7 linked regions of the Sus scrofa genome follow. The protein of the gene in region 1 interacts with the protein of each later gene in a pairwise test. Links are inferred from orthologs where the notes say so. Each region holds a gene or a part of one and is shown in the gene's direction. Other genes may lie near its edges. The genes, in order: FXR2, nuclear envelope pore membrane protein POM 121C-like, RALYL, C14H10orf62, ZMAT2, PTS and MEAF6.

Evidence for each region.
Region 2: the proteins of FXR2 (region 1) and nuclear envelope pore membrane protein POM 121C-like interact in binary tests that used the Homo sapiens proteins (3 or more experiments, as listed by UniProt). The two-hybrid records come from large-scale screens. The link is inferred for Sus scrofa from reciprocal best matches to the Homo sapiens genes FXR2 and POM121.
Region 3: the proteins of FXR2 (region 1) and RALYL interact in a two-hybrid assay, tested with the Homo sapiens proteins (2 studies listed by BioGRID and IntAct). The link is inferred for Sus scrofa from reciprocal best matches to the Homo sapiens genes FXR2 and RALYL.
Region 4: the proteins of FXR2 (region 1) and C14H10orf62 interact in binary tests that used the Homo sapiens proteins (3 or more experiments, as listed by UniProt). The two-hybrid records come from large-scale screens. The link is inferred for Sus scrofa from reciprocal best matches to the Homo sapiens genes FXR2 and C10orf62.
Region 5: the proteins of FXR2 (region 1) and ZMAT2 interact in binary tests that used the Homo sapiens proteins (3 or more experiments, as listed by UniProt). The two-hybrid records come from large-scale screens. The link is inferred for Sus scrofa from reciprocal best matches to the Homo sapiens genes FXR2 and ZMAT2.
Region 6: the proteins of FXR2 (region 1) and PTS interact in binary tests that used the Homo sapiens proteins (3 or more experiments, as listed by UniProt). The two-hybrid records come from large-scale screens. The link is inferred for Sus scrofa from reciprocal best matches to the Homo sapiens genes FXR2 and PTS.
Region 7: the proteins of FXR2 (region 1) and MEAF6 interact in binary tests that used the Homo sapiens proteins (3 or more experiments, as listed by UniProt). The two-hybrid records come from large-scale screens. The link is inferred for Sus scrofa from reciprocal best matches to the Homo sapiens genes FXR2 and MEAF6.

What each region holds. Positions count from the first base shown.
Region 1 is NC_010454.4:52,892,870-52,897,210, reverse strand, and holds part of FXR2 (fragile X mental retardation syndrome-related protein 2), read left to right. Parts: intron 1-1,679; 5' UTR 1,680-1,732; intron 1,733-2,082; 5' UTR 2,083-2,176; intron 2,177-2,594; 5' UTR 2,595-2,651; coding exon 2,652-2,666; intron 2,667-2,778; coding exon 2,779-2,927; intron 2,928-3,189; coding exon 3,190-3,283; intron 3,284-3,728; coding exon 3,729-3,845; intron 3,846-4,341. UniProt on the Homo sapiens protein: mRNA-binding protein that acts as a regulator of mRNAs translation and/or stability, and which is required for adult hippocampal neurogenesis. Specifically binds to AU-rich elements (AREs) in the 3'-UTR of target mRNAs.
Region 2 is NW_018085157.1:60,235-65,081, forward strand, and holds the start of nuclear envelope pore membrane protein POM 121C-like, read left to right. Parts: upstream 1-1,695; 5' UTR 1,696-1,789; coding exon 1,790-4,847. UniProt on the Homo sapiens protein: Essential component of the nuclear pore complex (NPC). The repeat-containing domain may be involved in anchoring components of the pore complex to the pore membrane. When overexpressed in cells induces the formation of cytoplasmic annulate lamellae (AL).
Region 3 is NC_010446.5:52,216,604-52,220,944, reverse strand, and holds part of RALYL (RNA-binding Raly-like protein), read left to right. Parts: intron 1-996; 5' UTR 997-1,019; coding exon 1,020-1,275; intron 1,276-4,341.
Region 4 is NC_010456.5:108,961,982-108,966,030, forward strand, and holds the start of C14H10orf62 (uncharacterized protein C10orf62 homolog), read left to right. Parts: upstream 1-1,249; 5' UTR 1,250-2,461; coding exon 2,462-3,460; 3' UTR 3,461-4,049.
Region 5 is NC_010444.4:142,409,310-142,414,347, forward strand, and holds the start of ZMAT2 (zinc finger matrin-type protein 2), read left to right. Parts: upstream 1-1,660; 5' UTR 1,661-1,794; coding exon 1,795-1,812; intron 1,813-2,144; coding exon 2,145-2,238; intron 2,239-3,341; coding exon 3,342-3,465; intron 3,466-4,391; coding exon 4,392-4,465; intron 4,466-5,038. Other genes in the region: probable histidine--tRNA ligase, mitochondrial, read left to right, coding at 121-180. UniProt on the Homo sapiens protein: Involved in pre-mRNA splicing as a component of the spliceosome.
Region 6 is NC_010451.4:39,925,175-39,928,589, forward strand, and holds the end of PTS (6-pyruvoyl tetrahydrobiopterin synthase), read left to right. Parts: intron 1-1,933; coding exon 1,934-2,004; intron 2,005-2,197; coding exon 2,198-2,321; 3' UTR 2,322-2,630; downstream 2,631-3,415. UniProt on the Homo sapiens protein: Involved in the biosynthesis of tetrahydrobiopterin, an essential cofactor of aromatic amino acid hydroxylases. Catalyzes the transformation of 7,8-dihydroneopterin triphosphate into 6-pyruvoyl tetrahydropterin.
Region 7 is NC_010448.4:93,564,433-93,568,773, reverse strand, and holds part of MEAF6 (chromatin modification-related protein MEAF6), read left to right. Parts: intron 1-2,520; coding exon 2,521-2,713; exon of another isoform or gene 2,714-4,341.

The sequences.
Region 1 (4,341 bases):
CGCCAGAGCCACAGCAATGCGGGATCCGAGCCACATCTGCAACCTACACCACAGCTCACGGCAACGCCGGATCGTTAACCCACTGAGCAAGGGCAGGGACCGAACCTGCAACCTCATGGTTCCTAGTCGGATTCGTTAACCACTGCGCCACGACGGGAACTCCCATTTTCTGATTTTTACAAAGTGAAAAGACAATTCAGCAGATAGCTCAGATAGTGGATAGTCTTTCAACAAATGGTGATCAAAGAACTGGATATCCATATGTAAAAAAAACAACCTTTTTTATGATGATATCTTGCACCATATACAAAATTTCGCTCAAAATTTTTTTACACCTAAATGTAAAAAACTATAAAACTGAAGTTCCTGTCGTGGCTCAGCTGTAACGAACCTGACTAGTATCCATGAGCACATGGGTTTGACCCCTGGCCTCGATCAGTGGGTTAAGGATCTGGTGTTGCCACAATCTTTGGTCCTAGGTTGCAGACATAGCTTGGATCTTGTGTTGCTGTGGCTGTGGCGTTAAGCTCAGTTAACAAAAGAGCATATTGATAAATTGGACTTTATCAAAATAAGCAATCTCTAATTTTGAGTTTTTGAAAAATAAAGAGAGACTGTAGCAAAATTGGGAATATAGGATTAAATGGATAGCTTTGGCTTCCTCAGTGAGTCATAGAAAATAGGTAGACCAGCTATTCAGTCATCCCTGTTCCTTCTCTTGTCATGATCTCAAGTTTGGTGTTGTTTCAGTTTCTTTTTATTTTTTTCCTTTTTTGGCTGCCTGAAGCACACAGAGTTCCTGGGCCAGGGATCAGATCCCAGCCACAGTTGCAGCCTTAGCTGCAAAGCCAGATCCTCGTGCTGGGCCGGTAATTGAACCTGTGTCCCAGGGCTCCAGAGACACTGCTGAGCTGATCCCGATGTGCTACAGTAGGAATTCCTTTCCAGTTTCTTAGCAGTGTCCAAGTCTCACATCTTTTTTTTTTTTTTTTTTTTTTTTTTTTTTTTTTTTAAACATAAAAGTGATTTTATTTGCAGGGGAGAGGGACTCTAGTCGAACATGCTAAACCCCATGTTATGGTCTGACTCCCTCACATCTTTTAAATTCTATTTTTTCCTGCCATAAATTGTGTTCATTTTGAACTTCTCCAGTGTTGCGATTATCTCCTTAGGACCCAGTCTTCTAGCCACCAAGTTTGCTGTGTTAGGGAGCTAGACCCTTTTCTCTTGGCAGATCCTGATGTCCTTTAGGTGTTCCAGGGCAGCCTCACACTGTCTCATGGGATATTCTTAGCTTTGCTGAATGTTGTTGGTATTTTAATTGAACTCTGGCAAGCTGCTCAGCACAGCAGGAGGCAGACAGATATGGAGGCCCCTGTGGGAGCCATAGGAGTCCACTAGTTTCCAGGCTGTTGTGATGTAGGTGATGTTTCTCCCTTCTACTTAATTTCTCTCTCAACTTACTGGATTTTGCCACATCTTTTTTCGTGGAATATTATTTCTTTTTTTGCAACTTCAACATTCACATTCCTTCCCCAATACAGCTTTTTTGTCCCTGCTTTTAGATTGCTTGTGTCCCAGTCTAAAATTCCAAAAGTGTCTGTTCCCTTCATAGCTGAGGTTGTGGTAAATTGTCATTTTCTTTTTCTTTTTTTTCATTGTTCTCAAATCCATTCTAGGGCTTTGTGAAGGATGTCCATGAAGACTCTGTCACCATCTTCTTTGAAAACAAGTAAGACCTTGGGAATAGAGAATCCAGTAGGTCCTAGAAGGAGAGTGGAGAAGCGGGGGCGGCTGAATCCCATGAGGCATGTAATAGGTGGGGGAGAGCCAAGGGTTTGGGTGGGCAACTTCTCTGGATCACAGGAGAGGAAAGGGCCGAAATGTGAGGATCGGGGGGCATTTGACTCAGTATTTAGGTTCTCGCAAGAGATGAGAGACACCATTATGGAGGAGGGCCTGGGGTTTAGCGCCTAATCACCAGGGAGGGTAGAAAATGCACAGTGGAGGAAGTAGCCTCTTCCTGAAGAAATGGACAAGTGCAGAGCCTGAATAGCTTTCGTATCACCGTTTCCCTTGCAGCTGGCAGAGTGAGAGACAGATTCCTTTTGGGGACGTCCGGCTACCACCGCCAGCTGACTATAATAAGGAGATTACAGAAGGGGATGAGGTGGAGGTAAGGACCATGGCGTCCTCCCTTGCTAAATGTCGCTTTTCCCAGGATTCTGCATCTCCCTTATCCTGATGCCGGTATCCTGGCCCCGCCACTGTGGCTCACTCTCCTTCCTTCCTAAGCTAAGCTGCTTCATTGAGCTGGGCAGCCTGTGGGAGAGTGAAATGCAGCAGTTCTCTGTCCGTCACTGTGTGATGCAGCCAAGCTCTCAGGGAGCTTCCCAGTTTCAGGGGATTCAGTTCTCTCTGTATAACAACAGCATCTAAAGTCCAGAGCCCTCTGATTTTAATTAGCAGCTCCTTCCTCTGGTTTCCTTTATCTTAGTTTAGGATGCCTCTCACGTGTCTTAATGTTTACTCCATTCTTGATGTTTTTGGATGGTCCTCAATTCTCTTTTATTTTGAACTTCTCTTCTCTTCAGGTTTATTCTCGAGCCAATGAGCAAGAACCTTGCGGCTGGTGGCTGGCCCGAGTGCGGATGATGAAGGGAGATGTGAGTGGTTGTGAAGGTCTTTGCAGAGCTACCAAACCCATTTTAGGGGAAGAAAGGTGGGAGATGGAGACTCAGGTCATCCATAGTTTCTTTCTCTTCTTCCTCCTGCCAGTTCTATGTCATTGAATATGCTGCCTGTGATGCCACTTACAATGAGATTGTCACCCTGGAACGGCTTCGGCCAGTTAATCCCAATCCCCTTGCAACCAAAGGCAGCTTCTTCAAGGTGACCATGGCTGTGCCTGAGGATCTGAGAGAGGCGTGAGTGTTGGGGATGTTGGGAGTGGGGGCCTCTTTATGGTCCTCATCGCTGCCCTTGTTTCTCCCAGGCGCTGCTTCCAGTTTCAGTGTTCTTTGTTGTTCCCGTGGCCCTCTAGAGCCCTTTTTGCTCCCAGTTCCCCTGCTTCCTCATCCCTGTTCTTTTACTCAAGTCCCTCTTATTTTTCTCAGTCCCCTCTTTCTCTCTCCCCTGAACCTTCAACTCTGCACTCTGCCCTCTGAGCACTGTCCTCTTTCCCTGCAGCTGCTCCAATGAAAATGTCCATAAAGAGTTCAAGAAAGCATTGGGAGCCAACTGTATCTTTCTCAACATCACAAATAGTGAGCTCTTCATTCTGGTGAGTTTATTCTGCCTGAATTTCACCTAAGCCCACTCCCCTTTTAATCCTTTGCAAGAAGGAAGAGCTAAAATGTGCTTATATTTATTTGGCAGAGAGGACTGTATAGCTCCAGACCCTTGTGGGCTCGGGTTAGCCTATGTTTCCTTAGTCTTTCTCACGTGTGACCTTAGTTTTTTTCCTACCTGACCATCGTATTACAGTCTGGGCTAGGGACCCTCTCTTGCATATTTGGACTCTCAAAAACATGTGATTCTCACCTGTGTTTGCTACTTAAAATCCTTCCCTTAGGCGCCCATGTAGTAGGTCCTTGTGAGACTGACACGATTTGTTTCTTAACATCCATTCTTTTTCAGAGACTCAGGCATCCTGATTCCCAGTTCCTGGCTCTCTTCCAATGTGCATTCAGTCCATTTTAATGGCCTTTCCATTGTCTTCTTTCCAGTCAACCACAGAAGCTCCTGTGAAACGGGCATCCCTGCTGGGGGATATGCATTTCCGAAGCCTGCGCACCAAACTGCTGCTCATGTCCCGCAATGAGGAAGCTACCAAGCACCTAGAGGTAAGTTTTAAGCCCTTTTTACTGCTGGGTGGTGGTGTTCTCCTCCCTCCCACCCCATTCTCCACCCATGCCCCTGTGTTTGCAGAACAGAGATTAAGGTCTTTCTGGGCCATTTAACCTGGGTCTGCTGTTTTATCCCAGACTCCTCCAGATGGCAGAGCGCCATCATGTTTTAGTACAGGCTCTTTTTTTTTAAAGCTATGGGACCCTTTTGATCAAGTGAAATTTTACATGAAAGCACAGTGCTTTACGGATCAATTAGAGCAGCTCTGTCCAAAAGTTGGAGAGGGTATCATCACTTTCACCTCCACAGGCCACCCCCTGATTTACCTCTGGGAACCAAACTGCTTTGTGGGATGTTTGAGAGCCATGTGCACACTGGCAAGACGACTGGACTTGGAATCCTAAGTCTTGCTTTGGCAAATAATTGCCCTTCAGCAGATAATTGGATTTCAGTGAGCTTTCTCTTCTTTTTAATTTTTTTTAGCTTTCTCTT
Region 2 (4,847 bases), on another chromosome or scaffold:
TATCCTAAAGAATGTGCTCTGTGCACTTGAGAAGAGTGTTTGTTGTTCTGTTGCGTAGAAATATTTATGTATGCCTGTTAGGACCATTTGGTCTAATTTATAGTTACCATACTCTGCTTTGGCGCTCGAGCTTAATTTTTCCTACATAGGTGCAGTGTGTGTCCTTTGGCCAACATATGCTCATTTCTCCCACCTCTCTGCCCCTGGTGAGCTCTGTTCTAGTCTTTGCTTCTATGTATTCCACTTTTGGATCCTATAAATGAGTGAGATCATTCTATCTTTTTGTGTTTGGTTTATGTGATTTAGCAGGTCTTCCAGGTTCATCTGTTTTGCTGCAAGTGGCCGGATCTCTTGGGCATTTAAGGCTGGATAACACACACACACACACACACACACACACACACACACACACACACACACACACACACACACACACACACACACACACACACACACACACACACACACACACACACACACACACACACACACACACACACACACACACACACACACACACACACACACACACACACACACACGTTATCCATTCATCTGTTGTTGGGCACTTACCTGGTTTTCTTATATTGGTTATGGTGAATGTTCCTGCAGTGAACATGGGAGTGCAGATATCATTTTGAAGTACCGATTTCATGTCCTTCAGTTTGAAATTGCTGTATCCTATGGTATTTTTTTTTTTTTCCTTTAACTTTTTGAGGAATCTCCATGCTGGTTCCCACCATGGCTGTACTAATTTACATTCAAATGAGATGACCTCATTTGGTTTCTTTTTAACCATTCAGATGGAATCATCTGAATGATTACAAGTCATGTAGTCATATGAGGGAACAAGTAATCGGTCCTTTGGAAGTTTTAAAACTGTGGGGCACCAAAGACTATTATTTTGGTCGAATATATTAGACTATTTACCTGTCTATCTATGTAAAGATAGTGTTTTATTTGTGTTCTTTTCTGAATCCTCTAAACATTTTAACATACAGACATGTAGTACGTTTCTCCACTTTCTCATTATTTCAACCGTAGATAAAAATACAAAGATGATGAATCATTCATCATATGGAGATTATGTTTAACATGTCTTAACATGTTACTTAGGTCTATTTCAGATTTGGAAAGTGTTGTAAAATCAAGTACAGTACATCCCACTGAGGTTCCCCTTTTGTCTTCATTGATAGCCTCATCCCCTGCCTGTGTAGCATTATCCTAAAGTTGACATTCTCCAAGCATTTTTATGATATAGGTATATGTGTCTGTATCTTACCTATGTGATTATTTTCACTCAAGTATATCTGGCGCATGCACATTTGTTTTGGGGGTTTTATTTTTGACTGTTTGTTATTATTATTTATTCCGGGGCTACCCTTGCTTGCGTAGTCACGGTGTCTGCAGCAGCTGCGGTGACTGCAGGAGGCAACCTGTGGAGCGGAGGTTGATAGCCAGTGTTAGGGACCTTGGGTCTGTGGGCTGGTGCCGCCAGGGGCAGGGGCAGCGCTGCTGGGCCTGTGGCTGCTGGGCCTCGTGCTGTACTTGGTGCCCGCGGGGGTGGCGGTTACGCTGGCCTGGCTAGCTGTGGGGGCGACCGCGGCCTGGTGGGGCCTGCGCCGCGAGCCCCCCGAGGTTCACGCGCCTTCCGAACCTCGCTGGTTCTGAAGGCGCGCTGCCATGGAACACTGCTCACCTTGCCTCCGGCGTAGTCAGCAGTAAACGGAAGTCTCCTAGAGCCTCCGCGCCTCTTCCAAGGACTTGGACCCGCGCTCATCTGTTCCTCATGGGCAACTACCTAGGCAAGCCCGCCCCCCCGCAGCCTGCCTCCACCTCGGAGGCCAGGGACCTGCGGGAGAGGCCTGGCCGCCGCCCGCCCACCCGCCCCATGCCGCCAGCTCCATCAGGCCATACCCCCGGGGTTCATACTCACCCCTCCCTACCCACTCCTCTTCCCCGACCCTCTAGGAGGACGGCCCTCCGGGGTTGTGGCCCTGTAGCACATCGGTTTGTAATAACACCTCGAAGGAGATACCCAATCCAGCAGGCCCACTATGCCTCGCTGGGGGTCCTTCCCACGGTGTGCTGGAATAGTTGTCACAGGAAGACTGTGCTCTCTGCTCGCAATTCCAAAGTGGTGTGCAGCCCAGTGAGAGTGAGGATTGCTCCTCCGGATAGCAAGCGGATTCGTCCCCCGCTATCAGAGCAGAGTAGCAGCTCAACCGTGTCCTCCCCATCAGCTAGTGCCCCAGACCCATGTGCAAAGGAGACTGTGCTGAGTGCCCTCAGAGCGAGGAAGAAAAGGACGGTGAAGGAGGAAGACCAAATACTGGCTGATGGCCAGGAAGAAAAGAGAAGGCGCCAGGACAGCAGTGGACGTGGACATTCAGCATTTGAGCCGCTGGCGGCCAGTGGAATCCCTGCCTCTTTTGTGCCTAAGCCTGGGTCTCTGAAGAGAGGTCTCAGTCCCCAGAGCTCAGATGCCCACTTAAATAAGAGGTCACGCACCTCTTCTCTGAGCTCCTTGACCAGCACGTACTCAGGCGGCGTGCCCATCTCCAGGCGCAATGCCATCACCAGTTCTTACAGTTCTACTGGAGGTCTCTCTCAGCTGCGGAAGAGGAGTGGTCCTAGGTCATCCCCCTTCTCCAGGCCAGCTTCGTCCTGCTCCCAGGCTCTAGCGAGGCCAGCAAAGGAAATAAGAGAAGAGGAACTTTCTCATCATTCGGCTTCTTCAACTGCATTCACAACAGACAAGGAGTCCCAGGGAGCAGAAGTTGCCGATACCACCACAAGGGAGAAAGAGAACTCGTGGAGTTCTCCACCAACACCTGGCAGCTCAGGGCAGCGTAAGCGGAAGGTGCAGCTGCTGCGGTCCTGGCGAGGGGAGCAGCTGACCTTGCCTCCACCTCCCCAGCTTGGGTATTCAGTCACTGCGGAAGACTTAGACTTGGAAAAGAAAGCTTTGTCACAATGGTTCAGCGAGATCTTGGAGGATAAGACTGATACTGCCTTGAGCGCTGTCCCTGAGAACCCACCTACCGGTCAGCCTCCGGTCTCTTTCAGCCTGCCTACTGCTGGGACTCCTGCCACCAAAACCTCCCTCCCAGCCCCAAGCCCTAGCCCACTGTTGAAGAGCTTGAAGAAGCAGCAGGATTCCCCAGGCCTACCATCGCCCCCCAAGTCTGCTGGCATGGCAAGCCCTGTGGCCCATTCGCCTCCGAAGACACCCAGCCCTCTGGCCCCTCTTGGCTCTTCACAGTCAGGGCCTCTCGCGGGCACCTCCTCGGACTGCAAACCTACAGCCGTTTTCTGTGGCGGCACCCTTACCCCCGCTTCTTCCACAGGACCAGTCACTGACACCAAGTCACCTCCAGCCCCTGAGGCTGAGACGTCTGCCAACTCCCAAGCCTTGTCGGCCCCCCCTCCCCCTCCCAAGCAGAACATTCCTTGTAGAATGCTGGGCACCTCACCTGCTAAGCCTCCTGCCTCTGCAGCTCCTGCTGTGTCTTCACCATCTCCCGTGCTAGATCCCATTTTTTGGCCCCCTCCTAAAAGCAAGAACGAGGGCCCCTTGCCCTCTAGCCCTTCCAAGGTCCCAGCCACCACATCTTCCAGCTCAGCCCTCCCCGCAAGTACCCGCAGCCCATCCCGCACTTTTAAACCTGGCTTTCACACCAGGGAGGCCCCTGCATCCGTGCCCATAGTAACTCCCTTCTTCAAGCAGGCAGCTCCTCCAGCCAGTGCTATGAGCGCCCCTCTCTTCCCTGGCCAGACCCGCGCCACCTCTGCAGTGGCTGCTGCGACCACAGCTGGCACCTCCGTAGACTCTGCTCTGAAGCCCGTGTTCAGCTTCCGTGTGAGCAGCATGACCAGCACCCTGAGCCGCGTGACTAGCACCACCGCTTCCACCTCCCAGCCCGTCCTCTTTGGGACTCCCTCTGCCTCTGGTGGCAGCTTCACAAACCCAGCTGTGGGTTCCAGCTCCATAGTCCAGCTTGGTAAGCCTCCCACCATGCCTCCTTCAAGAGCAGTCACCAGCTTTGGCCAGTCCCTTCCCGGTGCCCCTCAGGCAGTGGCCAGCAGCAGCAGCAGCAGCAGCAGCAGCAGCAGCAGCAGCGCTAGCACTGCTGGCTTTAGTGATTTGGGCAGCAGCCTTCCAGCCTCTGCCCCAGCCACCACCAGCCAGGCCACGCTGACATTCAGTAGCACCCCCCGCCCAGCCATCAGCGTTCCCTTTGGCTCAAGTGCCAAGCCAGGATCCAACGCCCAGCCCAGGTTTGGGGCCACTGATGGGCAGCAGCAGTGGGCTGCCAAGCCATCCCTTGTCCCCAGCTTGTGCAGCTCCTTCACGTTGGGAAACTCTGCAGCCCCCGCCCCGACTGCCACTCCAGCCACAGCCCAGCCAGCCTTTGGCAGCACCACACAGTCCACTCTTGGTGGCCTGAAAGCCACAGCCTCTGCCTCGGGCACCCTTGCCGGCCCCCAGCCAGCCTTTGGCAGCACCACAGCCGTTTTCTCCTTTGGTGCAGCCACCACCTCTGGCTTTGGAGCTACAGCCCAGACCACCGGCAGTGGGGCCAGTCGCTCCAGTAGCACGACACCATCTCCCTTCACATTTGGGGGACGGGCAGCCCCACCGTCTGGCAGCAGAGGCTTTGGGCTCAGTGTGGCTTCGCCAGGCACCAGCTCTGCCTCAGGAGCCTTTGGCTCCGGAGCAGGACAGAGTGGGACCGCTGGCAGCACGACTCCTTTTGTGGGAGGCTTGAGTCAGAAGAGCCTGGGTGCACCCAGCCAGAACACATCCTTTGGCCTCAATGTGGCCTGCAGTGCAGAGAGCCAAC
Region 3 (4,341 bases), on another chromosome or scaffold:
GATGTCTGGCAAAAAAAAAAAAAAAAAAAAAAAAAAGTTGTTAATAAATATTGTGAAATGAATGAATGGATGAATTTTTAAAGTTTAAAAAATAAATCTGTAAGTGCTGGCATACTTGGAAATAAAAGTTTCATTGAGTTTAATTAAGCACAATTAAACATTCTGCCAAGCTCAGAAAGTGGTTTTTAGAACTACTAGCAGTCCTTAGGCAACATAGGAGCCGTTAGTTAAATTAATTAAAAATGAGGTTGAGAATAGAAATTTCAACACAGAAACAAGGACTGTGAATTTGCTGATCATTGATGAAAACTAGCTACACATACTGGGTTTTAATGAAACTGACATTTGAAATTGGATCAACTAAAGAGAATGTATAGAATTATTTCTGTTTAAATCCTTTATTTTCAAAATCATTTTTCTTGTGTTAACTTTTCTAATTAATGTTTATACTTTTAATATCTCTTTTTTCTCTTCCACAGCATTTAATGGAACGAATTGTTAGTTTCTGATAAAAGGGTTCTGATAGTGAAATAGCCAATATCTACCAATTATGTAACATGTAGAAATAAAAACACATGTTCTCAACAATAAATGGAGCCTACAGTACTATGGTCCATCATCAGACTTTAGCTATGATGGATATTCTTTTTCATTGATTAATTAGGTGACTTATTCTTCACACTTGCTTCTGAAATATTTATAAACTTAAAAATAAAGCAAAGAGTTTAATTACTGTACAGGTCAAAATTTTAGATAAATAAATCTGGAATTTATGTATAAATATATGCTGAATAATTAAACATATTTTCCTATTGCATTTTGCAATGCAGTAGTACCTTTTATATAACTAAATTTTCCTCTCAAGAAAATCAGTAGTACCTATGTATTTGAGGTTACCTGGTACAGTACTGAAAAACTGTTAAAAGCCAGTGGTATCCATTCAATCTAATTCTTTCCATTTTGATTGTTTTGTTTGTTTTTTTGTTTTTGTTTAAGAGTTAAAACAAGGCGAGCCAACCATGACTGGCAAAACGCAGACCAGCAATGTCACCAATAAGAATGACCCCAAGTCCATCAACTCTCGAGTTTTCATTGGAAATCTAAATACAGCCATTGTCAAGAAAGTTGACATTGAAGCCATTTTCTCAAAATATGGAAAAATAGTTGGCTGCTCAGTTCACAAAGGTTACGCATTTGTACAGTACATGAGTGAGCGACACGCAAGAGCTGCAGTGGCTGGAGAAAATGCCAGGATCATCGCTGGACAACCACTGGGTAAGTCCTGCTCAGTTACAGATCTCATATTGATGTTCTTGTCTCTGCACATATCTAGACATGGTCTTATTGTTTAAAAGCCAGCACTCCATAATATTTCTGTCTTTACCAACTATAGTGCTCATATATTTATAATTTATATTATTCTCTTTTTCTCATATTGTTTTACATATGTGTCTTATTTTCTCTACAAATTTATAAGCTTGAGGTCAAGTCTGCTTTGTAACACTTGTTACCTCCACCAATACTAACAGGTCCAGGCAAATTAAAAATGTGCGTCATATTTAACCTTATTTGACTTGAAATGGTGTTTTTGTCTTCCAGGAAACACTATGCTGAGCAACAAAACCAAACCAAATAACTTTACTTATTTATACCTTTGCTCTTGAGGGGCTGATATATTTTCCTCATTTATTGTTTGTATTTGTGGAGAGAAGGGATGGAAAATAACAAAAGGAAATGAATCTTGAGAATTGGGAAAGGAATATAACCTATTATTTCTTATCTAGACAGGAATCTTGTATGTCATGACTGTTCATTCATGTGTAATAATCAGATTTATGTCTAATGTGCAAGGAATAATACAGTTTTTTCTTTCACAAAGAAAGTCAGAGGTAAAGTGAAACTTCTTTGGAGAAAATATTTTGTTAGTATGCAGATAAAAATAAAAATTAGTCTTTTTCTATTAGGAAAAGGTATAATGAAGACATCAGTGATTTCCTAATTTTGATCTATTGTCACGTGCACATTTATATATTAAACTGATTATACAACATCTTCTTGTGGCTATCCAACAGGCATCTCAGCTGTTATGCCCAGAATACAGAACAATACTCTTGATTATTCACACCCCAGCTTCTTCCACCCCATGCTTCTCCATCACATCAAATAGAACCCCCATTTATCCTGTTTTCCAAATGAAGGCTTAGGTGTCAACCTCAATTCTTCTCTTCCTCCCCCACTCTAAATGTAAACCATCATCATGTTTATTGCCATCAGTATATCCCAAACGCAATCAACTTTTAAATCTATATCAATAGCCATCTAATACAGACCACCTTTATATCACGTGGACCATTGAAATACCCCTCTAACTGGTCTGCCTCTTTCCATTCTTGCCAGAGTGCCCCTTTAAAACCTAAGATGATGCTGTTGATATGCTCTTGAGTGCCTCCATCTCACCCAGAACAAGATTTATGTTCTGTAACAAAACTACGGTGCCCCACACTACCACATTTCAACTCCATCTTCTTTTCTCTACCTTCTTGTATCACTTCAGTGTTGCTGTCCATCCTGATATCCCTCAACCATTCCGATATTGTTTCTGCCTCGGACTCTTTGGACTTGCCATTCCCTCTGCTCTGAAAACAGGTCTTGGCTAATTATTTTCTTCCTTCTACTTTATTGTATGCTGTGCTTGAATTCTACTTACCCAAAGAGGCTTTTCAACCTATTTAAAATAAAATAGTCTTCTGCCCTCTTGCCTACACTCTCTAATCTATTATTCTACTTCATATCTCTGAAATTACATATTTCAATTTATGATGCTACTACTATAATGTACACAGACATAAAGACACAGGAGCATATGAAGGAAACGAGATAAAAGCATAGATAAATCAGATTAGAAGGGTGTGATAAAATTGCATTATCAAGTTATTTGAAAATTTGGGGGGAAAGTATGGAATCCAATAAAATGAGAGTGATGTCTAGGTAACAGTCTTGAGGACAAAAAAGATATCTTAAATAAATGCTTGGTATAAAACCACAAATAGTGATTACTATAAAGGAATATACTCTTACTATAGTTCTACAACTCACATATCTATATTTTAAAGACAGATAGTGCTTTCCAAAAGACTTTAGTAAGTTTTACATTTGTCCCCTTTTTTAATGTCCCCATTTTACTTGTTGACCTTGATATGGGAGTTTTCTGACCAATTTTCTTTCTAAGTTAAATTCCTTCTTTGGGGCAATATCTGAGCCACTATCAGAGAAATACCCATTTATTGCCTATGTCTTGGTTGTATGAAATTAGTACATACTAGAAATTCATTAAATCATTAATTTTTAAAAATTAATTACCAGAGAATGTTTTGCCTATGTTCTCTTCCAGGAGTTTGATGGTGTCTTGTCTTATATTTAAGTCTTTCAGCCATATTGAGTTTATTTTGGTATTTGGTATGAGGGTGTGTTCTAGTTTCATTGATTTGCATGCAGCTGTCCAGGTTCCCCAGCAAAACTTGCTGAAAAGAATGTCTTTTTCCCATTTTATATTCCTGCCTCCTTTGTCAAAGATGACCCAGCAATCCCACTCTTGGGCATATACTTGGACAAAACTACTTAAAAAAGACACATGCACCCACATATTCATTGCAGCTCTATTCACAATTGCCAAGACATGGAATCAACCAAAATGTCCACTGATAGATGATTAGATTAGGAAGATGTGGTATATATACATAATGGAATACTACTCGGCCATAACAAAGAACAAAATAAGGCCATTTGCAGCAATGTGCATGGAACTAGAGACTCTCATCCCGAGTGAAGTAAGTCACAAAGAGAAAGACAAATACCATATGATATCATTTATATCTGGACTCTAATATATGGCACAAAGGAAACTTTTCCACAGAAAAGAAAATCATTGACTTGGAGAATAGACTTCTGGTTGGCAAGGGGGAAGGAGAGGGAGTGGGAGAGACTGGGAGCTTGGGGTAAATAGATGCAGAATGTTGCCTTAGGGATGGATTAGCAATGACATCCTGCTGTGTAGACTGAGAACTCTGTCTAGTCAATTATGATGGAACACATAATGTGAGAAAAAAGAATGTATACAGGTATGTGTAACTGGGTCACCATGCTATGTAGTAGAAAAAATATATATGTAAAGAAATAAAAATTAAAATTAAAAAAATTAATTACCAATTTAAGTTCAATTAAAAGCCCTATTCATGTGTTAATGAACTACAGCTAATTTTCCAGAGTATCTTCTCCTATGTTGGGAAGGGGGAAATTTTTGTCTTTACGCTTCTTGAGTTCTTATGGGCAAGGTAATAATAA
Region 4 (4,049 bases), on another chromosome or scaffold:
GGCTCGGATCCCGCGTTGCTGTGGCTGTGGCATAGGCCGGTGGCCACAGCTCCGATTCAACCCCTAGCCTGGGAACCTCCATATGCCGCGGGAGCGGCCCAAGAAATAGCAACAGCAACAACAACAACAACAACAACAAAAAAAAGACAAAAAGACAAAAAAAAAAAATCTGTCTCCTTGCCTGTTCCTTGCCCCCTACTGCAGCCAACACTCAGGGGTGGAGGAGGGACCCATCACATTTCACAGTGCCAGGGCCTCCTGCCATGGGTTAAAGGTCCTCCAAAGAGATGGGAACCTGCCCTTGATGAATCTGTGACCATTTAAGAGAATCTTCTGGAAGGCATTGCCTGCAACTGAATAGTTCTTTTTATTTATCTGTGTTTTGGCATTGTTAATTTGTACTAATTATTTGAGTAAAGCATAATCTCTTAAAATAAAACTCATGGAATTGCTCTTATGGTGAAGCAGGTTAAGGATCTGGCATTGCCAACACAGCAGCCTGGGTCGCTGCTGTGGCATAGGTTAGATCCCTGGCCCAGGAACTTTTCCGTGCTGCAAGCACAGCTAAAAAAATAAAATAAAGAGTTCCCGCCGTGGCACAGTGGTTAACGAATCCGACTAGGAACCATGAGGTTGCGGGTTCGGTCCCTGCCCTTGTTCAGTGGGTTAAGGATCTGGCGTTGCCGTGAGCTGTGGTGTAGGTTGCAGATGCGGCTTGGATCCTGAGTTGCTGTGGCTCTGGCGTAGGCCGGTGGCTACAGCTCCGATTAGACCCCTAGCCTGGGAACCTCCATATGCCATGGCAGCGGCCCAAGAAATAGCAAAAAATAATAATAATAATAATAAATAAGATAAAATAAAATAAAATAAAATAAAATAAAAACTTATAACCAGAGACCAGAGGGAGGAGTTTTTGCAGAAGGTCCTTTGTCCCTGAACTCATACCCACAAACAACCTCAAAGGTGAACTTTGAATTGTTATTTCCAAATGAGGTGAGTGGATGACCCCAGAGCTACTCTAGCAAGCCCGGAGAGCTGACATTTCCCCAAAACTTTTTTTTTTTGTCTTTTTGCCATTTCTTGGGCCGCTACCACGGCGTATGGAGATTCCCAGGCTAGGGGTCTAATCGGAGCTGTAGCCACTGGCCTACCCCAGAGCCACAGAAACGCGGGATCCGAGCCGCGTCTGCAACCTACACCACAGCTCATGGCAACGCCGGATCCTTAACCCACTGAGCAAGGCCAGGGATGGAACCCTTGACCTCATGGTTCCTAGTCAGATTCGTTAACCACTGAGCCACGACGGGAACTCCTGCCCAAAACTTTAAGCTTCTGTTATTCCCTTATTATGAAGGATAAACCATGGTTTCTTGGACTAAGGTATAATATTTTGTGTATATTAAAGCCACTACCTTGTTAAATACAGTATTTTAAAATATCACAATTTTAATAGTCCTATTTTGGCATTAAAAAATGTGGTATATGGAGTGCCTGTTGTGGTGCAGCAGAAACGAATCCGACCAGGAACCATGGGGTTGCGGGTTCGATCCCTGGCCTCACTCAGTGGGTTAAGGATCTGGCGTTGCCACGAGCTGTGGTGTAGGTCGCAGATGAGCCTCGGATCCTGCATTGCTGTGGCTGTGGGGTAGTCTGGCAGCTGCAGCTCTGTTTCAACCCTTAGCCTAGGAATTTCCACATGCCACAGGTGTGGCCCTAAAAAGAAAAAAAAAAAAAAAAGTTGTATATGCCTCTGGGAGTGGACCAGGGTTCTTTCTACCCTGAGAGGCCCTGAGTATAACTTGGGATTGGAGGCCAGACTCTCAGTTGTCTGTACATCTAGAGAGCCTGGCCACCTGTCCCAGCAGCTTTTAACCTGAACTGTGCCCACTTACAGGAGAGTCGAGGGTGTGGGCAGATTCTAGGTTTGCAGGTATGACACTAAGGCAAGAGGTGGTGGATCCCTATCCTGGAACAGCCCAGGGATCTAGGGCTGGGTGAAGCTTCCTGTCCTGTCTAATCTTCTCAGCCCACTGCTTGTCTTCCCCCAATTGTGACCTCATGTTATTCCAGAATGTGCTCCTTCCTGGACCCCTTTTTCTTCTCGACCCTGATGTGTAAGGGGGCTGGAGGCCACAAGTGGGGAAGGAATGCACAAAGCTGGCAGTAGAGAAAGACACTAGACTTAGGCAGCCAGGAATGGATGCCAGCCCAGCCAAGTGGGACCTTTGGCCATGGCCAGCCTGACCCAGCAGCCTCTGCCCCTTGGAGACCACCAGATTGAGAGGAAGAGAAACCAACGACTGGAAGATAAGAAGGTCTGAGCTGCAGAATAGGTGACAAGCAGAAGGCAGAAGGGACTCAGAATTGGGGAAGGTGCCCTTCCCCCGGCCTCAGGGACAGCTGTCAGGGTGGGAGAAAGGTCCCAGGCCTCAGGCCATGCCTGTCAGACCAGACATAAGGGATGCCATGGCCTCTCTCCCGCCCCCCGCCCTCCCAACCACCTTCCTCACAATGGGGTTCATTGCTGAGGTGGGAGGGGCCTCCTAGGGAGGGCACAGCAGGGGGCCTGCCTGGCAGATACCCTCGGGGAGCCTGTCTTTTCAAGCATGAGCCATACCATCTGGGCTCCCCCACTTCCAGTGTGCTCTTAGCTCTGCCTGCCTGGCGTGGGGTCCTGGAGACTTTCTTGGAGCTCATCCAGCAACCATCATGCAGGGTGGTGCTGGGAACCGCCCTCTTCCTCGGAGGTGGAGGCCTCATGCTGTGGATGCAGAGGAAGAGGAGAAGGAAGGCAGCTTCTGAGGGTGCACAAGATGAGCAAGAGCCACCAGAAAGCCACGAAGAAAAGAACGAGAACTGGATCAAATCGCACTTTAGCCGTCTTTCCGAAGAGAAGCTGCCCGCCGGAGGAACAGCCGGGACCAGCAGCACGGCCGGGGGCAACTGCGGCATCACGGGGGCTCCCCAGCCTGACGGTGGCATCGGAGAGGCCAGCACGACAATCCCCGGGGAGACCTTCACCACCAGGCAGGGAGAAGACGGCGCGGCTCTTCACCGGGAGTCCTTCACCAGCAAGCAGAGGATGTCTGGGACCTTGGTGACCAAAGAAACTCCCAAGGAGTCTGAAAAATCCTCGGCCACGGAGGAGGCCACGTGGGCCGCCGTGGCTGCCTGTACCAAGGACATTGACGCCAAGGGACAGCAGCTGGCCAACTCCATGCTGCAGCGTGTCATGGCGTGCCAGAACTCAGGCCACCTGGAGTCCAAGGATATCAACCAGGAAGAGCTGAAAGCGCTCGAGGAGGTGCAGTTAAAGCTGAAAGGCAATTTCTTCACCCAGCGGGAAGCCACCATAGCTGGCGCCAACCACACGCACACCTTCCATAGTCACCAGGGCCACCAGGGTCATCCAAGCCACCCGAGCCACCAGAGCCACAGCCTGCCCAACCGCAGCCATTAGACCACCTAACCACGGATGGACATGCCCCTTCCCCCAACAAGGCTGGCACACACAGGCCTGTTTTCTCTCCGATGGGGCAGCCTAGGTGGCCCAGACTAAGATGCTGCCGCCCAAAGCCCCTCTTCGTCAGGCCCCCACAGGAGTCCTGGGCCCTTTTGACTCCTTGAGCAAAGGCTGCCACTGATGTCCCCTGATGAAGGAAGAGCTGGGTGGAAGCCAAGCAGACGCACAGGCCCCTGAAGACCCACTGAGAGGCAATGAAAGAGGCCGATACCAGGAGCAGCCAAGAGCACCTGATGCCAAACGCCTGGACCTGAGCCAATAAAGCCTTGAACACCCTCACTTAGAGTCTGGGGCTCTGGGGCCAGCCTCAGGTGCGGGCAGGCCAGTGGGGAGAGGGTTCCTCCTGCCACGGCCTCTGGGTGGGCTCCGTAAAATTGATTCCTGGGTCTCAGGTTCTGGGGAGTCTCCAGGGGGCTCAACACCCACTGCCCTGCTGTTGCCAGAGAAAGAGAAGCAGCAGCCGGGAGCTGGGAGGAGAGACAGGATTTCAGAGGCAAGGAAGTAAACAGGGGTGGGAGGTGGGCCC
Region 5 (5,038 bases), on another chromosome or scaffold:
TCCCTACCGGTTGCATAGGTCATGGGAATAGTTGCCAAATTAAATGAATCTGGAAAAGCAGTGTCTGAGGTGCTAGTATCACTCTCTAGTTTGTCACATGAAGATTCTCTTATGTTTCAGGTGGCCATTAAGCGAGAAAATCTTGTGGCTGAAATTCAGAAGCGACTATCTGAGTCTTGATCCTTGCCTGAATGCCACCTGCTGCTCTTTGTAGAAAAGGTTTCATCTAGGACTGAGTTCCTGTTCCACAACTTTACAACTGCTGGCCAGGATGGCTGACTCGTGCCTACGCATCCTCCATCTTTTCTGGGTACAGAATTGTAGGAGGTCCTGAGGACTCTGGGGCTAGTGAGAGCAGCTATACTGCATGGGCGCAGATGGCTGGTATGTGACAGAGACATGCTCTAACTGCAGAGGCAGATGGCAGACTTGCAGTGCCGTTGAACGCTGCCAACATGTGCTAATAAGATGGTTGCTGTGAACAAGTCTCTGGGAAAGTCACCTCAGGTTGAGACGATTCTGAACCACTGAGATCAGAAGTCATGTCTTAGCCTTCCACTCTTCGCTTCTGAACCAAATTCTGGGCAGTTTGACCACTGTGTGGTCTTGGCCTGTCCAGGGAGTTTTTGGTAAACAGCAAGAAGGGGCAATGACTGCTCTCTGTTTTGTTTGAGGACAGAGATGCTAGCCCAAGGGCCCAGCAGTGCCCATATTAATATGACGTCTCTCTAGCCTACCCAGTGTTAATCAGGGTGAGGCCGTCTGTTTAATAATCTTGAATGTTGAATTTAATAGGCGACCTGACAAGATGGAGATCTGATCTTTTGAGACTTTGGAGACCATTACCTATGCCTGCTCTAACTAGTCCATGTCCTGCCGTGGAGGTGGCTGTTCTAGAAGTGGTTGTATAATATATTAAATAAAATATTAAATCTAGAAGCTTGGGTAATTTGTTATCGAGGGATTTGTTTGCATAGGCCATAGAAAACGCTTGAGTGCACACTGGAGGATGCAGTGAGCTAAGAGGAACGTCCCTGGGGTGATGTTTTATTTTTGGTGAAGGGAACAGCCATGCTTCCTCCTCCCCGCAGCTGTGAGATACAGTCACCTCACTAAGTCAGTGTGTAGTGTGACATTTGCTAGAGTTCTTCACCCTAGAGTGTTGCTGATGACTGGCCTTCCCAGGTCCGATCGTGTTGATTAAATTGTGCCCTGTAGATTGAATAATTGTGATGTTTCTCAGTTGAAGGAAAAATGAGTTAACCAAGGGGTGATAGCATTGCTTCAAGATAAAGAGACAAAATGCAAACAGCGCTTTCAGTTTGTGCATTAGGAAGACTACAGCCTGTGCAAACTCTTAGGAGCTCTGGGGCCCTATCTTCAGTGCACACAGGTAAAGAGGCATCTAGAGCCCCTGATAACAGAACTTCAGCCTTAAGAAGGTTTGGAAACTCTTGGCAGTGCACGCAGGTTGGTTAGACTAGACCGGAGGGCGCTGATCTGAACTTCATTTTCCTCTTACGTAAAATGGAAGGGTTGAATCTGTGCTTGTTTTTAAAGCCAGGGTGAAAAACCCTCGCAGGCGCCCTTACTTCCGCGTTGCTTCATACTCCCCTTGCGCATGCGCCATTTCCTTGGAGCAGGGGCGGGGCCGACGATCTTGTTTTAGAAATCCTCCAGTCCTTAGCTCGTTTAGAACACGAGACTCTAAGCTTATTGGAGGGCGGGCTTGCCTTACGGCGCAAGGCCGCTTTTTACGGCATTTTCCGGCTTTCCATTCACTTCGCTGTGAAGATGGCGTCGGGTAGCGGGGTAGGTGTTGTGTGTGAGGAGGCTTGGGATGGGGGGTGCGGGGCGGCTTTTCGGCGCTGAATACCCCGCACCCGCCTGGCTTCCCGACACCTCCTGGCGATCTAACCGCCTTGGTTTGAGAGCTCCCCCGTAAGGCCCTGGCGCAGGGTCATCGGAAGCGGGAAGGTCTCGGGTTGGGGTCCTGAGGCAACCTCAGCCTCCCGGTGCTGTCCGGAGAGGCTTCGCTCTTCCCAGGTCCCGGGGCCGCCTTAGCGGCTGGGGAGCGGTTTCTTCTGTTTGTCCAGGGGTCGGACACGATTAGCGACGAATCTTCAGCCCCTTTTCCCCCACAGGCAAAAAACTTGGACTTTCGCCGAAAGTGGGACAAAGATGAATATGAGAAGCTTGCGGAGAAGAGGCTCACAGAAGAGAGAGAAAAGAAGGATGGTGGGTGCCTGTTCCATCAAGTGCTAAGTGTACTGCAGATGCGAAGCAATGGTTAGCGAGTCGGTGGGGGGTTGAAACGCGCTGCCCCCTTTCCTGTGTAACCTCCGGCAGAATAGTGCCTCCCTGGCTCCTCAGGTAGAAAAGTAAGATAGGCGTGAGGAGATGAACTGAAATGGTTTGGAGGTGCTTTCCGGCTCTGCGGTTCCCTGCTTCCTTGCCCTTCCTTTGCTTGGCTCATTTAGTGCTTTCCTCAAGTACAGGGAAGACAGTGGAATCCTCAGTAGTGATCCTCAGAAGAAGTTAAGTGGAGTGTTTTTGCTGCTGTGTATTGCTGCTATTGAACGTGGGATTCTTAACACCGGATTCTTAACCTGGGGAACGTGGGATTGATTGTTTCATCTAGTGCTTACGGCTGTTCTCTGTGCCTTACATTTTGTCAGGGAGTTGGTCTTATTTTCTTTTCTGTTTTCAGACTTGTACTTTCTTTTGCTTTACTTGCATACTCCAGCACTTTTGGTTTTTATGTAACTCATGCAATAGTACTTGGCATATAGCAGATATTTCCTAGATAATAGTTCTTCTTTAAAAAACTTCCCCAGCTCTCAGAAGATTGCCGTGTTACACATGGGGTATCTGTCTGAAAACACTAAATGAGTGGTCTTGCTTTTCTTTTCTTTTTTGTCTTTTTAGCAGCATTCGCAGCATATGAAGGTTCCCAGTCTAGGGGTCGAGTCCGAGCCATAGCTGCTGGCCTACACCACAGCTCACAGCAACACCGGATTCTTAACCCACTGAGGCCAGGGATCAAACCTACGTCCTCATGGATACTAGTCAGATTCATTTCCGCTGAGCCAGGATGGGAACGCCATAGACTTGTTGGCTTTAAAGTGGAGAAAAGATGTAGGGAGTTAAGGATTGCTTATCATTTTTGCTGTGTTGAAATTCTCTGTAGCTACTGCTAGAAGGGACTCTTTTGTCCCTTGCTTCAGGTTTCAAAAAAGAAATGAAGGTAGACTTCTGGATTTTGCATTTTATGCATTTCTTTTCCTTTCTGGCTAAGGATCTCTGATAATGAAGCGACTTCCTTCCCCATTATATTCCAGGAAAGCCCGTGCAGCCAGTCAAGCGAGAGCTTCTCCGGCATAGAGATTACAAGGTGGACCTGGAATCCAAGCTCGGGAAGACAATTGTCATTACCAAGACTACCCCACAGTCTGAGATGGGAGGGTAAGTGGCTTTTCATTTATCTCTGCATCCAGGAGTAAGTCACATAAAACTAGGTTGGTTTCAGGAAGTGTTGAGCAGGATACTTGGCCCCAGAATAATAACCTTGTTTTCTGTCATTCCATGCTTTGTTCTCCAAGGCCTCAAGTTAACATAATAGTGTCTCTACGAGGTGTCACTCTGTAGGCTTTGTTATATTAGTACTATAACTACTTCTTAATATCTTAAAGGGAATTGTTTGTTCTCCTGCCAGAGGAAGACATGAAGGAAAGGTCTACTGAGGAGATGTCTAGGGGAGGAATTAGGTGAAGCTAGAATGAAGCCCAGGAGCTGTTGATGGTGGATAAAGGGGGTTAAGGTTGTGGACTAACTAGCTGCAAAGGTTGTAGTTGTTACGGATTTCCTGGTTGTGCACCTTGCTATTAGACCAAGACTATAAGCTTTAGAAAGAAGGCTCCCACAGGAACTCTCCTTCCTTTGGCCCACCACTACTTCTCTGTCCAGTTAGGTTTTCCAGCAGGAGGATCACACAGATAGCAATGTGTGACACTTCTCTGAGCTGCTTAGTAGACCCGCTGTTGTCATTCCTCTTTGTGTTAGTTATCTGCTGCTATAGAAATGAATACATTAACCCAAGACTTAGCAGCGTAAAACAGCAGGTAGCTCACAATATCTGGGGGTAAGGAATCTGGGACTTACTTAGGTGGTTCTGGCTCAGGCTTTCTCACAAAGTTGCCCTCAAAGGTCTGCATTCATCTGAGGTATAAGTGGGTCTAGAGGGTCTGCTTCCTAGCTCTGTCATGCTGTGGTGTGGAGGCCTCTTTGTTCTAAAAAGAACTTTGATTTCAAAATACATGTTTCTTGGTCAAAAGCGACAAAATCCTTACAACAATCCACCAACCCGAGTGCTGTTTCTTTCTGTTTTCTAGGTATTACTGCAATGTCTGTGACTGTGTAGTGAAAGACTCTATCAACTTCCTGGATCACATTAATGGAAAGAAACGTAAGGCTCAGAGGTAGTTTGGGGCTGGGATGGGAATTGGAGATAGGGTGGGGGAAAGGGTCATTTCTCTTGGGCCTCTTTTTTAATGTCAAGGGAATTCTATAGTTCCTTCAGCATAGGATCCTTTACTATTTATTTAATGTTTCTGGAGTCCAAGAGGTGCGAATCTGTTCTAGACTCTCAACAAGCCCAAGCCCAAACCATGGTCTTTTCTTGGGCCCAGCTGTCCACACTCACATGCATGTACTCTGTAAGGATAGTTGAAAGCCGCTTATATCTTGTTATCTGGAGCTGCTGCCAAAGGATATATATTTTTTTTTTTTAGCCATATTATTTTTTTGCATGCTTTCTGAGATTTTTGAATGTTAGGAAGACTTTTTGAGAGACTTAGGATTTTTTTTTTTTTTTCTCCTTTTTAGGGCCACACCCACGCCATATGCAAGTTCCCAGGCTAGGGGTCGAATCATAGCTACAGCTGCTGGCCTGCACCACAGCCAGGCAATGCCAGATCTGAGCTGTCTCTGTAACCCACACCACAGCTCACAGCAACTCCAGATCCTTAACCCACTGAAC
Region 6 (3,415 bases), on another chromosome or scaffold:
TTCCACCCAGCTTAGTTTTTATTGTGCCATCATTTCACCTGTTTATTTCACTTCAGTTTTGCTCCTTAACTCTGTTCTAAAATCTGACATTTGTTTCATAAAAATGCTGTTATTAATAATTACTTTTTTCATGTTACCTATCATCCATATATTCAACAAGTTTGCCTGCTTTGCATCAGCCTTTGAGCTGGGTATTAGGAATACAGTGATGATGTGTATAACGGATCATTTGACTGTATAGCGAAATTGACAGAACATTGTAAATCAACTATAATAAAAATTTTTTTTAAAAAAGGAATACAGTGGTGAATGAGACATAGCTCTTAGCCACAGAGTTCACATGCCTTTTTTCCAGGAGGTAAAGAATAATGAGTGCTCAATAAGTGTTCATTGAATAAATAAGAGAATGAATGAGTGAACACAGTACGGTGCTCAGAATACTTTAGAAGAGCTGCAGTGTAGACAGAGTTCTTACATTTACTGGGGATGTAAAGCATATATAAGCCAAGTGGTTTATAATACAAACATGAGAAATAGATGTTCTAAGCAGGCCTACAGTTAATGCTAGAGGAGAGTTTCTCTACACTTATCCCTACTTTTGCATACCTAAGGACATCACACACCCCCATCGGTAAGAGTGGCTCACATGGCTTACAGAGTCAAATTAGAAAGAGTCCTGTAGAAGAGGCTCCCTTCAATGGAAAAGTTGGGAACTGAACTGACAAAGATAAAACAAAGGTTTATTTTCTTGATATCTTGGTATCCATTTGATTATTTTAAAGAGTTTGCTCAAAAAATGATTGCTATTATTGCTGTTGATAATATGGAAAATTATAGATTGTTTCATAAATGCTTAAAATTTTTTAATTGAAGTATGATTGATGTCCAGTATAAGTTAGAAGTATATAAATATACTGATTCATAATTTTTAAAGGTTGTACTCCATTTATGGTTATTATAAGATATGAAATATGAATTCCCCATTTTGTACAATATATCTTTGTAGTTTATTTAATTTTATTTATTTGTTTATTTTGGCCATTCGCAAGGCATGTGGAAGTTCCTGGGCCAGGGATGGAACCTGTGCCACAGCAGTGACCTCAGCTGCTACAGTGATAATGCCAGGTCCTTAACTTGTTGCATCACAAGGGAACTCCATCCTTGTAGGTTATTTTACACATAATGGTTTGTACCTCTTAATTCCCTTCCCTGTGTTCCCTCTCCCCACTGGTAACCATGAGTTTGTTCTCTGTATCGGTGAGTCTGTTTCTTTTTTGTTATATTCCCCAGTTTATTGTATTTTTTAGATTGCTTAGATTTTTTTAATAATAGCTAAAACTAAAAACTTACAAATAAGGCAATTACAGTTCTGTCATTGACAAAGAAAAATGTTATGTTTAATATGTGTGTGTATATAAAAAAGTTTTAGGAAGCAATACTTTATGTGTTTATATTTTTTCTTCTAAGAGCCCAAGATCATTCATAAGTAACTCCTTATGCAAGAATTTAGAACTACTTGCATCATAATTTCAGTCTTATCTCCTTTATAATATGTAGTACTCATTGGATCTTTGTCCTGATGACATTGTGCTAAAGATGAAACTGTTGGGGAGAAGTATTTCTGATAATATTTCGGACAGAATTCAAGAAATGTTAAACTGAATTCTGAATTACAGAGGCTTGTTAGGAGAAAGCTCCAGTGCATTCTCTATTTTTTTGGTTTCTTACCTATTGCATTCAGTAATGAGAATATCTAGTCATTATGGAGAGCTAGGCCTTACTTTATTTTATAACTTGAACCTTTCTGAGATTGTTTTGTAAGACAGTACTTGAAAGTATTGAGTTAGTGTCTAAATGATAAGGCGAGGGTTAGAGGCAAAGTTATACGAATCATAAATGACATCAATGATGTTTTTCTTTGTTTTGTCTGGAGGAGGCAATCATGAAGCCCCTTGATCATAAGAATCTGGATCTGGATGTGCCATACTTTGCAGATGTTGTAAGGTGACTGATTATTTTACCTTACGTAAATAGTAAGAAAGAAGAATTGATTTTGACATTTTTATTTGGTTATTATGTGATTTCTAAAGTTTCAGCTTAGTGGTATCTTTTAAAACTAGAATTTCTGTTCTCTGCAAATATTAAACAGGAAAGTTTGCTTATTTGCCTTTTGATCATCTTTTCTTTTCTCCTACAGCACAACAGAAAATGTAGCTGTATATATATGGGAAAACCTCCAGAAATATCTTCCTGCGGGAGTTCTTTATAAAGTAAAAGTATATGAAACTGACAATAATATTGTAGTCTATAAAGGAGAATAGCTCTTAGAGATTAATACCATAGAAAGGTTTAATTACTTTCCATATTTGAAGACAGTCTTTATTCCCCTGGATAATTGAGAAGTCATCACATGATGGTTATACCCTCGTATTATATTATGAAGTACCTGATTTATTGAAATCATTGTGAGTAAGACCTTTTTTAAATTCCAGTCTATTTTAAATCCAAATCTATGATGTATTCTGGGTGTCATTTAAAGAGTGTATTATCCATAAATTACAATTGTTTTAGCAGAACGTTTTGGTGTAAAATTATTTGAAATCAAAATAAATCTATTTTTGTTTTTTCTATTGCCTCTTTTTAGTGTTCGTTTTCTTTTTGATATAACATAAATGGAAAAAATGTTTATAATACAGCAAATGAATCTTACAAAAAATAAAATACAGGTGGCCACAAAGTCTGAAAACATAGACAACATATATTTGTTAGTAGATTGAGCTCCCTTGATCACTTCTAGGATATGCCAAAGGTACAGGTATATAGAATGAAAATTAGACACAAATCATCTGAGGCAACACATTGTAAATGGAGGTATAGGGACTGCTGCAAATACTGCTTTAGTGCACATCATTCAGTGCTTATTGAACCAGGAACTGCCTGTGAGGAATAGCACATTGAACATATTGTGGAATATCAGTAAAATACTTTTATATTTGTCTACGTTTCAAGACCTGGAGTTCCCATTATGGCACAGTGGAAACAAATCCGAATCTGACTAGTATCCATGAGGATTTGGGTTTGATCCCTGGCCTCGCTCAGTTTGGGTTAAGGATCCCGTGTTGCCGTGAGCTGTGGCGTAGGTCTCAGATGCATCTTGGATCCCACATTGCTGTGGCTGTGGTGTAGGCCGGCAACTGCAGCTCTGATTTGACCCCTAGCCTGGGAACTTCCATAGCCTCAGGTTTGCCCTAAAAAGCAAAAAAAAAAAAAAAAAAAACAAAACCTTATGGCTACCTGAACAATTTAAACTCAGAAGACTGAAAAATAATCTTATGTATTAAACTCTTAAAATAATCATAATGAAAAGGGATATATTACTCTGTACATCATTTCTTGTATACAGTTTTTCCTAATT
Region 7 (4,341 bases), on another chromosome or scaffold:
ACTCATTTTTTTTCTTTTTTCTTTTTTTTTTTTTTTTTTTTTTTTAGCTATTTCTTGGGCCGCTCCCGCGGCATATGGAGGTTCCCAGGCTAGGAGTTGAATCGGAGCTGTAGCCTCCGGCCTACGCCAGAGCCACAGCAACTCGGGATCTGAGCCGCGTCTGCAACCTACACCACAGCTCACGGCAATGCTGGATCGTTAACCCACTGGGCGAGGCCAGGGATCCAACCCGCAACCTCATGGTTCCAGGTCGGATTCGTTAACCACTGTGCCACGACGGGAACTCCCCATTACTCATTTTGCCCTTACCTCCCCACTGTGGGTTTTTTACTTTTTTTTTTGGTGATACATGCAGCTCAAGAGTTTTATATGAATGATATGGTTCACTTTACATATACTTTCTTCTGTCATGCTTGTTTTTGTGGTCTTAGCTAAGAAACCTTTGCCTAATCCAATGGATTCTAAAAGTTTTATAGCTCCTGCATTTAGGTCTATGATTCATTTCGAGTTATTATTGTCATTATTTTTTTGGCTCTGCCGGCACCATGTGGAAATTCTCAGGCTAGGGATCGAACCTGCGCCGCAGCAGTGACCCCAGCTGCTGCAGTGATAATGCCAGATCTGTAACCCACTGCGCCACAAAGGAACTCCCATTTCAAGTTATTTATTTATTTTTTTCTGTCTTTTCTAGGGCCTCACCAGCCATACATATATGGAGGTTCCCAGGCTAGGGGTCTAGTCGGAGCTATAGCTGCTGGCCTACGCCAGAGCCACAGCAACTCGGGATCCAAGCTGTGTCTATGACCTACACCACAGCTCATGGCAACCCCATATCCTTAACCCAGTGAGCGAGGCCAGGGATCAAACCCGCAACCTCATGGTTCCTAGTCGGATTCATTAACCACTGAGCCACGATGGGAACTCCATCAAGTGAATTTTTGTATATGGTGTGAGATAGGGTTGCAGGCTTCAGTGATCTCAGCACCATTTGTCAAAAAGACTATCCTTTTTTCATTGAATTGTCTTGTCACCACTGAAAATCAGTTGATCATAAATGTAAGGATTTATATCTGGACGCTGAATTCTGTTCCCTTGACCTATGGTCTGTTCTTATGCCACTACTACACAGTCTTGTTACTCTAGCTTTGTGTGATAAGTTGTGAGGTTCTTTTGCTAATTTTTACATGAAATCTGTTTTCCTAAACTTCAGGACAGGATTGATCAGTTTATTTTATCTAGCTTCATAGTTTTAGAACTCTTCTCTTTTCTTGGTTTCATGAAGTCTTCAAAAATAGGGTTTCATGATGGCTGAGATCCCTTTTGCTTTCTCTTTGCTTTCTCCTGCTTTTTGGGGCCTGCATCTTTTAGCTCTCGTATCCCTGTGCTACTCAGTTTGGAATCTTTCCCGGCAGTTTATGATATAAAAACATAAAAAGAAGAAAGCTGGTCACTGGTCCTGCTGTTCATGTAACCTCTTTTAACAATTTTTAGAAATAGGTAATGTACACATTTAGGATTCTTCAACAGTTCAGTAAAGTGAAAGTCTTCCCCCATCCTTTCGTATTAAGAGTTTCAAGAATTTCCTTTCAGAAAGAAAAAGTATACATTTACCAAAATATATGTAGTTTTTCATGGGTTTCCTGTCGTGGCTCTGTGGTTAACGAATCTGACTAGGAACCATGAGGTTGCAGGTTCGATTCCTGGCCTCGCTCAGTGGGTTAAGAATTCGGTGTTGCTGTGAGCTGTGGTGTAGGTTGCAGATGCAGCTCAGATCCCATGTTGCTGTGGCTCTAGCGTAGGCCAGTGGCTACAGCTCCGATTAGACCCCTAGCCTGGGATCCTCCATATGCCATGTGAGCAGCCCTAGAAAAGGCAAAAAGACCAAAAAAAAAAAAAAATATATATATATATATATATATGTAGTTTTTCTTAAAAAACATGTGTTTATATAAATTGTTCTTGAACTTGCTTGTTTAGTATATCTAAAGGATGTTTTAAATTGGGAATATGTATCATCTGAAGGCTATTATTACCATTAAAAATATCATTCTTAAGGCTTCTGAGAGTAACTTAGGTAATGGGGCTCTTCTCTTGGGCCTGTTTTCTTGGTGGAAGTTAGGATTCCTGTGTGGTTTAGGGAAGGAACCAGGGCCAGCTGTAGGGCGTTTTCCCAAGGTCATCTCTCACCTCCCAAGATTTATGTGATGTTTTCTGTAATGCTTCTCTTATAATTATGAATCCCATTAATGTATCCTATGAGGTTATCCTGGTTGTGTGGTCCATTCTCCCAGCTGTCCATCATCTGTTGCCTCTGGTTACACTGTTTCAGGTTATAGGTTTTTCAGGACCTCTGGTAACTTTGATGCTTTGACTGTATGTATCTTCCTTGTCAATTGGTCCTTGAGGATAAGGGATAGTCTTCTGTGTATTAGGGCTCAGAAAGCATCTTTCCTGACTTGATGGACAGGCTGCCTGAGAATACTGATGACGCTTTGGGGGATTTGTGTTTATTCCCTCCAGGGGAACCAGGAAGTGGGACGGAAAGTGATACTTCTCCTGACTTCCACAATCAGGAAAACGAGCCCAGCCAGGAGGACCCTGAGGATCTGGATGGATCTGTGCAGGGAGTGAAACCTCAGAAGGCTGCTTCTTCTACTTCCTCAGGGAGTCATCACAGCAGCCATAAAAAACGGAAGAATAAAAACCGGCACAGGTCAGTGGCAGGGACCACCTTTACCCATCCCAGCCCCACACACTTAGAGCTTCCATGGCCGTTGCTGTGAAGGGACTTTACTGAAATAAACATTCTTTGGGGTTGGTGCAGTCTTTCTGTTGCTGATGGGGAGACATTCATGTGGTCCAAGGGAAACAGGCTCATTTTTCTCTCTCTAAGGGAGGAATTGGTGGGTATCAGAGTAACTCCGAAGGAAGACAACTTTCTCACTGTTTCTAGTGTAGACAGATTTGATTCCATGACACTTTTGTTTAATGCAGTGACTCTGAAATCTTTTTAGAGGAGGAAAAGGGAAGTAGAATGGAATCTCTGTACTAGCATTTGGAAAATGCCACTAGTATGTATCGGGAAAGGGCAAAGTGGGATAAGTCTTTTGCTCTTAATGCTGATCCCTGCCTATTCTTATTCCCTGGAAGATGGAGAAAACTGATCTGACATGCCTTTTTTCTTGTTAAATACAAGTTTTTTGATTCTGATTTTTAAATTTTTATATATCACTACAATATACTGATTTTAGTATCACAGGAACAGTCTAAAGGCTGTAAGATATGAGAGCACCTTTCTAGATAATGTTGGTCTGCTGGGTTTTTTTGTTTTTGTTTTTTTTGTTTCTTTTTTGCAGTGCGTAATGAGATAGGAATCACATTGGTGGGCAGAGATGTCAGGGGACAGCCAGAGAGGTCACGTGTCCCCCTGCTTAGGGTTAGTATGATAGTTCCAGGGCCTATTAGCTTAGATAATTGGAAATTATACAGCTGCACTCAGAGAGGGTAATGCATAGTTTCTGGAGGCAGGATTCTTGTCCCCAAACCTTCTTCTGAGAGGCATGAAAACCAGATGCTCAGTAGGCTGGCTTTTTCCTGCCCCACTTAGGAGCCTACCTGCCGAGGATATGAAAGGGGGCGTGCAAGGACTGGGTGGGGTTCCGTGTCCTCCAGTTTGCTTCTGGGCTGGCTTGTCCCATAAAACATTCCTTCACACTTGCAGGGTGTTAATGTTAGCTTGGTGGCTGTGGCACACAGGGATAACAGAGAATTGACTCTTAACGGGTGTAAGCCTCCTTGGTATCAACTGATTCTTTAATTCTTTTAAGAGCTTTTCTTGTCTGGTGGTGGTGGTTTTTAGACTGTAGGAATAGTGTATTCTCCAGATAGTGACTAAGGACAGCTGCTTCACATTTTTCTGCAAACCAAAAATCACATGCCAGTCTCATAAGTGCAGTAAGAAAGAGCCAACATTACATACCTTTTTTTTTTTTGGGTAAGGCTATAGTGAATTTGGTCACTGTGAAAGGACTGATGCTACTAGCTTAATCATAAACAGCAGAGAAGCATACTCTTAAAAGTTTTTTTTAATTGTCAAGATAAAAAGATCATGTCCTGTGTTGCTTTTATTAAGTTTACCCTAGTGTCATTTTAAAAGAAAGAATTGTTTGCCTATTTCAGAGTATCTAGAGTAGGGGGTAAAGTCCTTGAAAGTTCCTGGGGCATCTTTTCCCATCTGGACTCTCTAGATAGCTATTTTTTATTTCAGGTAATACCTTCTTTTTCTTAATGATCTGATCAGTTGATAAAAGGGAATTAGGCATTGAACTTAACTTTCTTCTT